3 linked regions of the Oryctolagus cuniculus genome follow. The protein of the gene in region 2 purifies or fractionates together with the protein of the main gene of each other region. This does not show direct contact. Links are inferred from orthologs where the notes say so. Each region holds a gene or a part of one and is shown on either strand. Other genes may lie near its edges. The genes, in order: SMARCA4, BAZ1B and MYO1C.

The links.
Region 1: the proteins of BAZ1B (region 2) and SMARCA4 fractionate together in Homo sapiens (co-fractionation; 3 studies listed by BioGRID, with this or other methods). This does not show direct contact. The link is inferred for Oryctolagus cuniculus from reciprocal best matches to the Homo sapiens genes BAZ1B and SMARCA4.
Region 3: the proteins of BAZ1B (region 2) and MYO1C purify together in Homo sapiens (affinity purification with western blotting; 3 studies listed by BioGRID, with this or other methods). This does not show direct contact. The link is inferred for Oryctolagus cuniculus from reciprocal best matches to the Homo sapiens genes BAZ1B and MYO1C.

Annotation. Positions count from the first base shown.
Region 1 is NC_091447.1:66,652,774-66,656,416, forward strand, and holds part of SMARCA4 (transcription activator BRG1), read right to left. Parts: intron 3,361-3,643; coding exon 3,234-3,360; intron 1,534-3,233; coding exon 1,360-1,533; intron 900-1,359; coding exon 726-899; intron 1-725. UniProt on the Homo sapiens protein: ATPase involved in transcriptional activation and repression of select genes by chromatin remodeling (alteration of DNA-nucleosome topology).
Region 2 is NC_091450.1:50,544,537-50,548,179, forward strand, and holds part of BAZ1B (tyrosine-protein kinase BAZ1B), read left to right. Parts: coding exon 1-738; intron 739-3,643. UniProt on the Homo sapiens protein: Atypical tyrosine-protein kinase that plays a central role in chromatin remodeling and acts as a transcription regulator. Involved in DNA damage response by phosphorylating 'Tyr-142' of histone H2AX (H2AXY142ph).
Region 3 is NC_091448.1:47,028,685-47,032,327, forward strand, and holds part of MYO1C (unconventional myosin-Ic), read right to left. Parts: coding exon 3,590-3,643; intron 3,509-3,589; coding exon 3,393-3,508; intron 3,139-3,392; coding exon 2,940-3,138; intron 2,857-2,939; coding exon 2,776-2,856; intron 1,756-2,775; coding exon 1,576-1,755; intron 1,491-1,575; coding exon 1,392-1,490; intron 1,077-1,391; coding exon 963-1,076; intron 870-962; coding exon 798-869; intron 368-797; coding exon 248-367; intron 138-247; coding exon 55-137; intron 1-54.

The sequences.
Region 1 (3,643 bases), on a different chromosome or scaffold from region 2:
TCGCCTCACGATCACCTCAATGCCAGCACCTGAGGGCCCTGCAAGGAGCCACCGCAAAGGCCCCAAGTCCCGCCTTCTCCGTCCATGAGACACACCCCCAAATCCAGCCCTTCCTCCAGCTGGTCCACACGACAGCACTGCCACACCTCGGCAGGGGCGCCCTCGGGCCCAGAGCCCTCCTGGCAGGCCGTGGGGATCCACCTGCCCCACACGAGGTGCTCGGACCTCCCATCTCGGGGGCCTGGGACCCGAGGCACTTGCTGGACGCCACATGCAGCATGCTGCCACCCTCCTGTCCCCAGACCGTGCACCCTGGGTCACGCCTGCCCTGCAGGCCTCTGGTGGTGAGGCCTCCTGTCCACCCCACGCCCTTGCCTGAGTCCTGCCCTTCCCTGCACTCATCTTCACATAAAACCCCCTCCTGTGTTTCACCCGGGCTATCTGAAGCCCAGGAGGGCAGGGGCCGAGTTCCGTCTCCTGCAGCGCCCTCTTCCCCCACGGCCCAACAGACTACTGGGGGGTCTCCACTGCTCCCCCTGTGCCCCCTGACCCAATGTGCAGGGCAGCCGACGGGCCTGGGTCCCGTGGCCCCTTCGTGGTCAGGTCTGAGGCAGGGGTCTCTGCCCCCAACCCACGCCTGTTTTCCCCTTTGCCCACCTCTCACCCAGCCCCTACTGGACCGGGCGCGAGCCAGCTGAGCGGGCCGGGCTGGGGCCGGGACGCACCATGAGCCTGCGCATGCGCTCCTTCTCGATCCGCTCGTTCTCCTTCTTCTGCTCCCGCTCCGTGTTGGCGTGGTACGTGGCCACCGCCTTGGTGAGCTTCTGGATCTTGCCCGTGACGGATCTGTGGTACTCCTTGAAGTCCTTGGCGTGCTGCAGGATGCTGTTGAGGTACTCCTGTGGGTGACGCCAAGGGGGCGCTGACCGCTCGGGGGACGCCACTGGCAAGGGCGCTCCCCCGAGGAGGACCACGCGCTCATCGAGACGTAAGCGCAGCGAGACTGTGCCGCTGCCTGCTAGGAGGCCCGGCCCCGTGTCCTGACAAAACCCAGTGCATATTGTAAGAATATGTCCAAGATCAGTCCAGAAAACCTGGAGGGCCAAGAACGCCTGTTCTAGCGGGATTTTTTTTTTTAAATTCTGAGAGCTGTAAAATATGCTATGTGTGCCCAAACAGGGGAACGGGGGACAGGCTGAGATGGAATACAAGGTTGACATCTGCCGTGTTTCAGCAGTACCTAAACACACACCAACGTGCGGTAATTTTTACCAACACAAAGCTAACTCGGCAGACAGGGGCGACCGTCACAGCCGAGACGAGGCCGCGCGCGGCGCGGGGGCGCCGGCCGGGACGCACCTGGTGCTTCTGGCGCCGCTTGCGCTCCTGCTCGATCTTCTGCTGCTTCTCCAGCTTCTCGGTGATGCGCGCCTCGCGCAGGGACTGGCGCTTGCTGCGCTTGTAGGCCTTGGCGTTCAGCGCCGTCTCCAGCGCTGTGTCCCTCCGCATGCACACCACCACCTCCTGGCGCAGCTTCGGGAGGAACAGGAGACGCTGGCACCGTGCACGCCACACCACGCCACGCCACGCCACGCCGGTGCTGCCGCCTCCGAGACCAACAGCCCCACCCCGCCGGCTCACTCCCAGAACGACGGCACCTGAGACCGGACTGTGAGTCCGTCACTGATGCCCCTCGGGGCCCGCATCAGCAGGACGTGGGAGAAGGAACCCCAGCACCCGACGTGGGAGGTGCTGGGCTCAACGCCCATTCCGGGTCATCTCTAAAAAGATGCTCAGGCACCGATCTGTATGCAGAGAGCGGATGGCAGGAGCCACCGGCAGGCGGCACGGAGCAATGACCATCTGGAGCCCAGCAGAGGGCCCTGGCGTGCCTCAAGCCTGCAGTGGGCCTCCCACAACACACAGAGGTCCTTACGGACCCCCAGAAGACAGCACCCCTTGGAGAGGGGCCGCTCGAGTCTCATCCCCCACCGGGCAACCGTGCCAGAGGGAAGCCCCCGCTTAGGGAAAGCCTCAAGGGCAACCCCTCCCACCACCCACTGGGCCGCAGGGCAGGCACAGGGGACCAACAGCGCCCTTGCGTGAGTGTGAGTGTGCGCACACGTGCGAATGGCCAGGGAGCAGCGCCCCAGCGCCCAGGGAGCAGCGCCCCAGCGCCCAGGGAGCAGCGGCCCAGCACTCAGGGAGCAGCCCCCAGCACTCAGGGAGCAGCCCCAGCACTCAGGGAGCAGCCCCAGCCCCCAGGGAGCAGCCCCAGCCCCCAGGGAGCAGCCCCCAGCCCCCAGGGAGCAGCCCCGGCCCCCAGGGAGCAGCCCCGGCCCCCAGGGAGCAGCACCCAGCACTCAGGGAGCAGCACCCCAGCACTCAGGGAGCAGCCCCAGCACTCAGGGAGCAGCACCCAGCACTCAGGGAGCAGCCCCCAGCCCCCAGGGAGCAGCACCCAGCACCCAGGGAGCAGCACCCAGCACTCAGGGAGCAGCACCCCAGCCCTCAGGGAGCAGCCCCAGCCCCCAGGGAGCAGCCCCAGCACTCAGGGAGCAGCCCCAGCGCTCAGGGAGCAGCACCCCAGCGCCCAGGGAGCAGCCCCAGCCCCCAGGGAGCAGCCCCAGCCCCCAGGGAGCAGCCCCAGCACTCAGGGAGCAGCCCCCCAGCACTCAGGGAGCAGCCCCGGCCCCCAGGGAGCAGCCCCAGCACTCAGGGAGCAGCCCCAGCGCTCAGGGAGCAGCACCCCAGCCCTCAGGGAGCAGCCCCCAGCCCCCAGGGAGCAGCCCCAGCCCCCAGGGAGCAGCCCCAGCGCTCAGGGAGCAGCCCCAGCCCCCAGGGAGCAGCCCCAGCCCCCAGGGAGCAGCCCCAGCGCTCAGGGAGCAGCACCCCAGCCCTCAGGGAGCAGCCCCCAGCCCCCAGGGAGCAGCCCCAGCCCCCAGGGAGCAGCCCCAGTGCTCAGGGAGCAGCCCCAGCCCCCAGGGAGCAGCCCCAGCCCCCAGGGAGCAGCACCCCAGCCCTCAGGGAGCAGCCCCAGCCCCCAGGGAGCAGCCCCAGCCCCCAGGGAGCAGCCCCAGTGCTCAGGGAGCAGCCCCAGCCCCCAGGGAGCAGCCCCCAGCACTCAGGGAGCAGCCCCAGCACTCAGGGAGCAGCCCCAGCCCCCAGGGAGCAGCCCCAGCACTCAGGGAGCAGCCCCAGCCCCCAGGGAGCAGCCCCAGCACTCAGCCCACCTGTCTCTGGAAGTTCAGCAGCCTGAGGGCCTTGAGCTCAATGGTCGCTTTGGTTCGCAGATCCCCGGCCAAGGACCCGGGGAGGTTTTCAAGTTCCTGGATTCGGTGTGCGATGCGAGCCTGCAGCCTGGGGCGGGGAGAGGCAGTGAGAAGGCGGCCCCTCTGCAGGGCCCTGCCTAGGAAGCCCTGGGCAGCCTCCCAAGGACGCATCCTAGGCCGCAGCCCTGAGCCCTGGAGTCTCAGCAGTGGGAGCCAACCTCCGGTCAGGAGGCCCGAGGCCCCGCCCCCGCAGGCCGGGAGGAGTGGCCGTGGGCCTCAGGGGCCCCATCTGTTCACCCCAGGCCCTGGGTGCCACCGTCCCGGGCTCACTGGAGGTCAACAGGGGGGTCCTCTTCCTCTGTCTCACCCTT
Region 2 (3,643 bases):
GTTACTCTGGGCTGCTCTTACCTGATGCTCAGTACCCCATTACTGCCGTGTCCCTTATGGAAGCCTTGAGTGCGGACAAGGGTGGCTTTCTGTACCTGAACAGAGTGTTGGTCATCCTCCTGCAGACCTTGTTACAGGATGAGATCGCGGAGGACTATGGCGAATTGGGAATGAAGCTGTCCGAGATCCCTCTGACCCTGCATTCCGTTTCAGAGCTGGTACGGCTCTGCTTGCGCAGATCTGACGTTCAGGAGGAAAGCGAGGGCTCCGACGCAGATGACAACAAAGACTCCGCGCAGTTTGAGGACAATGAAGTGCAGGATGAGTTCCTGGAGAAGCTGGAGACGTCCGAGTTCTTTGAGCTAACGTCAGAAGAGAAGCTGCAGATCCTGACAGCGCTGTGCCACCGGATCCTCATGACGTACTCGGTGCAAGACCACATGGAGACCAGGCAGCAGATGTCGGCGGAGCTGTGGAAGGAGCGGCTTGCTGTGCTGAAGGAGGAGAATGACAAGAAGAGAGCAGAGAAGCAGAAGCGGAAAGAAATGGAAGCCAGAAATAAAGAAAATGGAAAGGAGGAGAACGGGTTAGGCAAAACTGACAGGAAGAAAGAGGTTGTGAAGTTAGAGCCCCCAGTAGATACGGAAGCTGAAGACATGATTAGTGCTGTGAAGAGCAGAAGGCTGCTTGCCATGCAAGCTAAGAAGGAACGGGAAATCCAGGAAAGAGAGATGAAAGGTAAATTGTCGTGTGGGGGCCGGGCAGGCGTTGTAAACGGAGGGACTGACCAAGGTGTGGCAGGGTCTGTGTGTGTCACAACTGTCCACTTCCGGGTGGTAACCCAGCACCAGCAGATGTGTCTCTTAGTGGGAGTGTTCAGCCCGGCACTCTGCAGCTAATGATGCGTTCCTGTGATGGTGGCATCCTTCTGGGTTCAGGGGAGGACCAAGTCCACAGGTGGGCATAGTGGAAGCAACACCGTGACCTGCTGGGCCTTGGCTGTAGGCCTTGGCAAGCTACTTACCCACGCCTCACTTGGTGCTTGGTAACAGTTGTGGCACCTGAATGACAAGTTATTTGAAGCCCCAAGCATAGTCACCACTTCAGATAGTCCCCTCCCTTAATAATGTTTAAGAGACGTAGAAATTTTGAGCTTTCATGACCACATCAAATCCAAACATTTATAAAAACAGCATTATTAAGAAATAATTTGCATACCATAACATTCATTCATCTATTGTGTATAATTAATTCACTGTTTCTTAATAAATTCACAGATATGTATAACCATTACTGTAGTAATTTTATGTCTATTTTTTTTTTTAACCTAAAAAGAACAACCCGTGTCCTTGGGTGTCACCATCCACCCATCCTCCCCAAGCCAGAAGCCACCACCCGTCTGCTTTCTGTCTCTGTGGATTGCCTGTTCTAGACTTCTCCTATGCAAGACTCATATAATAAATGTTGTTTTTTTGTGACTGGCTTCTTTCACATAGCCGGTTTCCAAGGTTTGTTCACGTTGTAGCACGTAAAACATGTCACATTAAGGAAGCCAGTTTAGAAAGACCATCTCTGCCTAGTTCTCAAACATTCTCATCACCCCAGAAGCCCCCAGCTCCTGTCAGCCGCCCGGTCTGCTCTCTGTTTCTGTGGACTTACATGTTCTGGCTGTCTCTTTGAGTGGAACCACAGAATACATGGCTTGTGTGTCTGTCGTCTTTGACCTTGTCATGCTATGGCCTGCGTCACTACTTTGACCTCATCATGCTACGGGCTGCGTCAGTACTCCTTTCTGGGGCTGAGTGGTAGCCCATTGTTGGGCTGCATGGTATCTTATTTATTCATCCGATGAAGAACGTTTAGGTTATTTCCCACCTTTTGGCTTTTACGGATAATGCTGCTATGGACATTCACGTACAAGTTTGTTTTGGGGGTATATATTTTCGTTTCTCTTGGGTGAATACCTAGGAATGGAATTGGTCATGTGGTCATTTCAGGAGCTGACAGGCTAGGCTGTTCGCAAGAGGGGTTGTGTAGTCGTATATCCCTACCAGCAGTGCAGAAATGTTCTGATTCCTCCATCCTTACCAGCACTTGACACTATCTGACTTTCGAGTTCTTACCATCCTAGTGGGTGTGAATTAATATCTCATGTGCTTTTGATTTGTGGTTACTTGGTGACTACTAAGCATTGTTTCATGTGCTAGTGGCCATTTATTTGGAGAAATGTTAATTCAGATCTTTTGCCTGTTATTTGTTTATATATTTTTTTATTTATTTATTTTTTTGACAGGCAGAGCGGACAGTGAGAGAGAGAGACAGAGAGAAAGGTCTTCCTTTGCCGTTGGTTCACCCTCCAATGGCCGCCACAGCCGGCGCACCGCGCTGATCCGATGGCAGGAGCCAGGAGCCAGGTGCTTTTCCTGGTCTCCCATGGGGTGCAGGGCCCAAGCACCTGGGCCATCCTCCACTGCACTCCCTGGCCACAGCAGAGAGCTGGCCTGGAAGAGGAGCAACCGGGACAGAATCCGGCGCCCCAACCGGGACTGGAACCTGGTGTGCCGGCGCCGCTAGGCGGAGGATTAGCCTAGTGAGCCGCGGCGCCGGCCTATTTGTTTATATTTTTAGTTTTTATTTTATTTATTTGAAAGGTGAAGAAGCTTCCTGTCCACTTTTTTTCCTTTAAAAGATTTATTTATTTATTTGAATGGCAGATTTACAGATAGAGGAAGGGAGAGATAGAACTTTCATCTACTGGTTTACTCCCCAAATGGCCACAATGGCTGGGTCTGGGCCAGGCCAAAGCCAGGAGCCAGGAGCTCCATCCAGGTATCCCTCAGGGGTGCAGGGGCCCAAGCACTGGGGCCATCTTCTGCTGCTTTCCTAGGCATGTTAGCCTAGGAGCAGCCAGGACTGGAACTGGCACCCATGTAGAATGCCAGCACTGCCAGAGGAGGCTTAACCTTATACGCCATGTGCCAGTCCTGATGCTGTCCTTTTGTCCCAGCATCATCTGTTAAAAACTCTATCCTGGCCGGCGCTGTGGCTCACTAGGCTAATCCTCCAACTGCAGCGCCAGTACCCCGGGTTCTAGTCCTGGTTAGGGCGCCGGTTCTGTCCCGGTTGCTCCTCTTCCAGTCCAGCTCTCTCCTGTGGCCCAGGAGGGCAGTGGAGGATGGCCCAAGTACTTGGGCCCTGCACCCGTGTGGGAGACCAGGATAAGTACCTGGCTCCTGGCTTTGGATTGGTGCAGCTCTGGCCGTAGTGGCCATTTGGGGGGTGAACCAACGGAAGGAAGACCTTTGTCTCTGTCTCTCTCTCACTGTCTAACTCTGCCTGTCCAAAAAAAAAAAACACACACACACACACACAATCTTTTCCTTCGTGGAATGATTTTGGTGCCTGAGTCAAAAATTACTTAACTATTAGGCACTTCAGTTTATTTGTGGACTATGAATTTTAGTGTGTTCTCTATGACTATATGCTCTAGTAACTTTAGAAATAGAGAAGAGTTCCTTTCTCAACTTTCCCTTTGTCAAGATTATTTTGGTTATTCTGGGTCTCCTTCAGTTCTGTGAGTTTCTTTTCTTTTCTTTTTTTTTTTTAAGTTTTATTTATTTGAAAGAGAGACAGAGCTTGTATC
Region 3 (3,643 bases), on a different chromosome or scaffold from region 2:
GGCAGGAGCGGGAGGACCGAGGCAGGGACCGGCAGGGGTGTGGCTGGCGCTGACCTGTTGTGCTGAAACACTTCAAAGCCGTAGATGTCCAGGAGCCCAAGAACCGTGGTGCTCCGCCAGCTGGGGCTCTCGGCGTCCTAGGGCCCATCAGTCAACCAGGGCGTGGGTCCCAATGTGCGGGGCTGACCCTATTCCCAGCTCCCCCCCCCCCCAACCTGCCCTGGGCCAGCGTGCATGCAGCCCTCACCTTGGAGGCCAGGGACCTGTTGATCTTCCCAACCAGCCAGGTAAAAGTGCGGCTGTACACAGCCTTGGCCAGAGCGTCCCGTGCATACGCGGCCTGCTCCAGGTTCAGCGGACTCAGGAGCTGTCGGCGTGGGGACAGGCAAGGAGACCAATGCCACACACACCTCTTCCATGCCCCCTCCCTTCGGGCTCAGGTAGAAGACCAGCAAACCCCAAGCACCCCACCCTCCCTCTCAGCGCCGGAGAGCCTGGGGCTGGGGAGGGAAAGCAGCAGCAGGACACGGGGTGGGGGTGGCCACACCACGGGGCAGCTGGTGGGGGCACAAGAGGCCTCATTCCTGGAGGTGGGAGTCTGGGTCTCAGCCTGACTCTGTCTCTTCCTGTGTGACCTGGGCCAGCTCACAGTGTCTCTCTGAGCTACCTGCCCTAAGTCCCTTGAGCACTGGGCAGAAGACCACCAGGGCAGAGCAGAGCACCGGGCAGAAGACCACCAGGGCCAGAGCAGGGCTGAGCTGCACTGACCCTACACTCGGGCAAAGGCTCCGCCTCACCTCTTCCCCCTTGGCGATGATCTTCCTGTGTGTCAGGGCTTCCCGCAGCGTCGCGCCTTCCACACCGAGGAGCTGCGGGGGGTGTGTGAGGGGGGTGCGTGTGGCTGGGAACACACGCCCCCTCCCCCATCGGCCCCTCCCCTCGCCCTCTGCACACCCGCTCACCCTGCTAAGATACTTGATCTGGTTCTCGGTGGTGACCTGGGCATTGCTCTCCTCGTCGGCAGCGAAGTGGATGTTGCCCAAGTGCAGGACGCTGGCCACGATGCTCAGCAGCTCCTAGGGGAGCAGGGAGGGCACGTGAGGCTTGGGGAGGGAGAGAGCCTGCGGGCAACTGGATGGCCGGCCGGAGGCGGGCAGGGGTGCAAAGTGTTGGAGAGCAAAAGGGGAAATGGTTTTTGAGAGTAGAAGGGGAAGAATAAAAGACACAGAGATAATAAAGACGACACAACTCACGCACACACACATGCACTCGCACACATACACACACATGCGCACATGCACACACGCACACATACACACATGCACACATGCGTGCACACATAAGCACACACACAAAGAGCAGAAGGAGCGCAGTCCCCCAGGCGGCCTCACCTCCACCTCCTCCTCGGTGAAGTCGATGACTGTCAGTGCCTTCCTGACCACCTTCCAGTCGCTCTTGTCATTGATGGAGGACACCTTGGCACACTGGCCCTAGAGGAAGGGCACAGTTGGGTTGCCAGCCCTGGCACCATGGCCCCCTCCCGGGGCGGCCCCGCCCCCTGGGCCAGCCACGCACCTTCACCAGGTACAGGTAGCTCTGGGGGTTGCGCTCCAGGCCCAGCCTCCTCAGCGTCTCCTCCTCGCCCCCCTCCAGCAGCTGGTAGAAGATGTGGAAGTTGCGCTCGCCGTGATTCTGGTGAACCACACGGGACTTCTCCAGGAGGTAGCTGAGGATGTGGCCACCCACAGGGGCCCCCTGCGGGGATGGCAGGCACAGGGGACGGGTCACAGGGGCTGGGGAATACACCCGTCTTCCCTCCCCTCCCCTGCACAGAGGCTTGAATTTCAGCTCCGCCACTTGCTGTGTGGGCTCATACCCATCACCCCCTCTGGCCTCACCAACTTCACCTGCGAAATGGGGAGATTCAACCCCATCCGCTTGGCAGCTCCGCTTGGATGCCTGCCACGCCTGAACCCGAACTCCCGATCTCCCCCTCTTCACACCAGCTCCTGTTCTCGTTTTCCTGTCTTGGTTGAGGGCAGTGCTACCCATCTAGCAGGTGTTCAGCCAAGAAGTCTAGCCTATTTCTTCCAGAGCCTACATCTGATCAGACGGCCAACCGTGCCGCCTTCACCTCCAACACATCCGGAGTCCAACCACACGCAGCACCTCCACTGCCAGCACACTGCTCTGAGCCCTGTCAGCTGTCACCTGCATTATTACATCAGCCTCCCAACCGGTTCCTCGCCTGGCCTGGTTCCCCCGCCATCTACTCCCAACAGAAGAGCGATCTTTCTGAGAGGAAAGGTGAGCAAGACGCTTCTGCCCAGAATCCTCCGCCAAGCCCCCTTCCCCTTGGAAAGACCCCGCAGGCCCGCCCCGCCGTCTGCTCTCCTGTCGCTGGGCCTTGGAACCTGCCAAGTCCCCTCCTGCCCAGGGCCTTGTCACCAGCTGTTCCAATGCCTGGATTCTCCTCCAGGTCTCCACACAGCTGGCTGCCAGTCTCCATCAACCCTCATTAAAATGCTACCTTCCGGGCAAGGCCTACACAAGCTGCCTTATTAAAAATTCCAACTGCCCCCCCCATCCCTCCTGTTATTTTCTGGCACCATCTAAGTTGTAACTGTTTCTGCTCTCAGTCTAGCACCCCAGAGGCAGGATTTTTGTCTGCTGGGTTCCACTGCAGCATGTCCGGTACACAGTAGTTGCTCAAGAAATACCACGTCTCCTGCATGCGGCAGTCCCCCCCATCGGCCCTGGCATGCCCATAGGTACCTTGAAGTCGAATTGCACATCCATGTACTTCCCAAACCTGCTGGAGTTATCGTTCCGGAGGGTCTTGGCATTCCCGAAGGCCTAGGTGTGGACACGGGTGTGAGGGAGGCCTGGCGCCCTCTCGGCTCGGCTCTCCCCCTCCCCGTGCCACAGCCACACCCCACCTCCAGCACAGGGTTACTCTGCAGCAGCCGGTCCCGCACGGCGCCCCCTCGCTCGGGGGCGGGGCATGTCTCCGCGTAGAACTGCAGCAGTCGCTTGGTGGCCTCGGTCTTGCCAGCCCCGCTCTCCCCAGAGATCATCACTGCCTGGTCCCTGCGCTCCGTGCGCAGCGCCCGGTACACAGTGTCGGCCACGGCGAACCTGCGACAGGGGCTTGTCAGGGAGTTCAGGGAGACGGGGTAGCCCCACAGGTAGGACTGGGGGGCCACTCCCATAACAGCTGGAGTGCCCGTGGGGGTGGGAGTCAGGTGTAACCCCTGAAGATGCAGGTCACTTCTAGGGGCTAGCCCCTCTCAGCTGGGGGTCACTAAGGCTGGAGGCCACGCCCAGGTCGAGCTGGGTGGGCCTGGAGACCCTCACAGGTGTGCACAGTGGGGGCGGGTGGGGTCACTCACAGGTGGGGCGGCACCTCGTAGAAGCTGACACCCCGGTACCGCTCCATGTGCTGCCGGCTGTAAATCTGCAGGTCCCGGTAGGGGTTGACAGAGACCAGGACGGGGCCGATGTAGGTCTGGGGGTTGGGAGAGCAAGGTCAGAGGTTTGCCCCGGGGGGGGGGGCCAGCACCCACCCCACGCCCCGCTCGAGCCTCACGTAAATGAGGTTCTCCCGGAAGCGCCGCCGCAGGTTCTCCATAAAAGCCGCCTC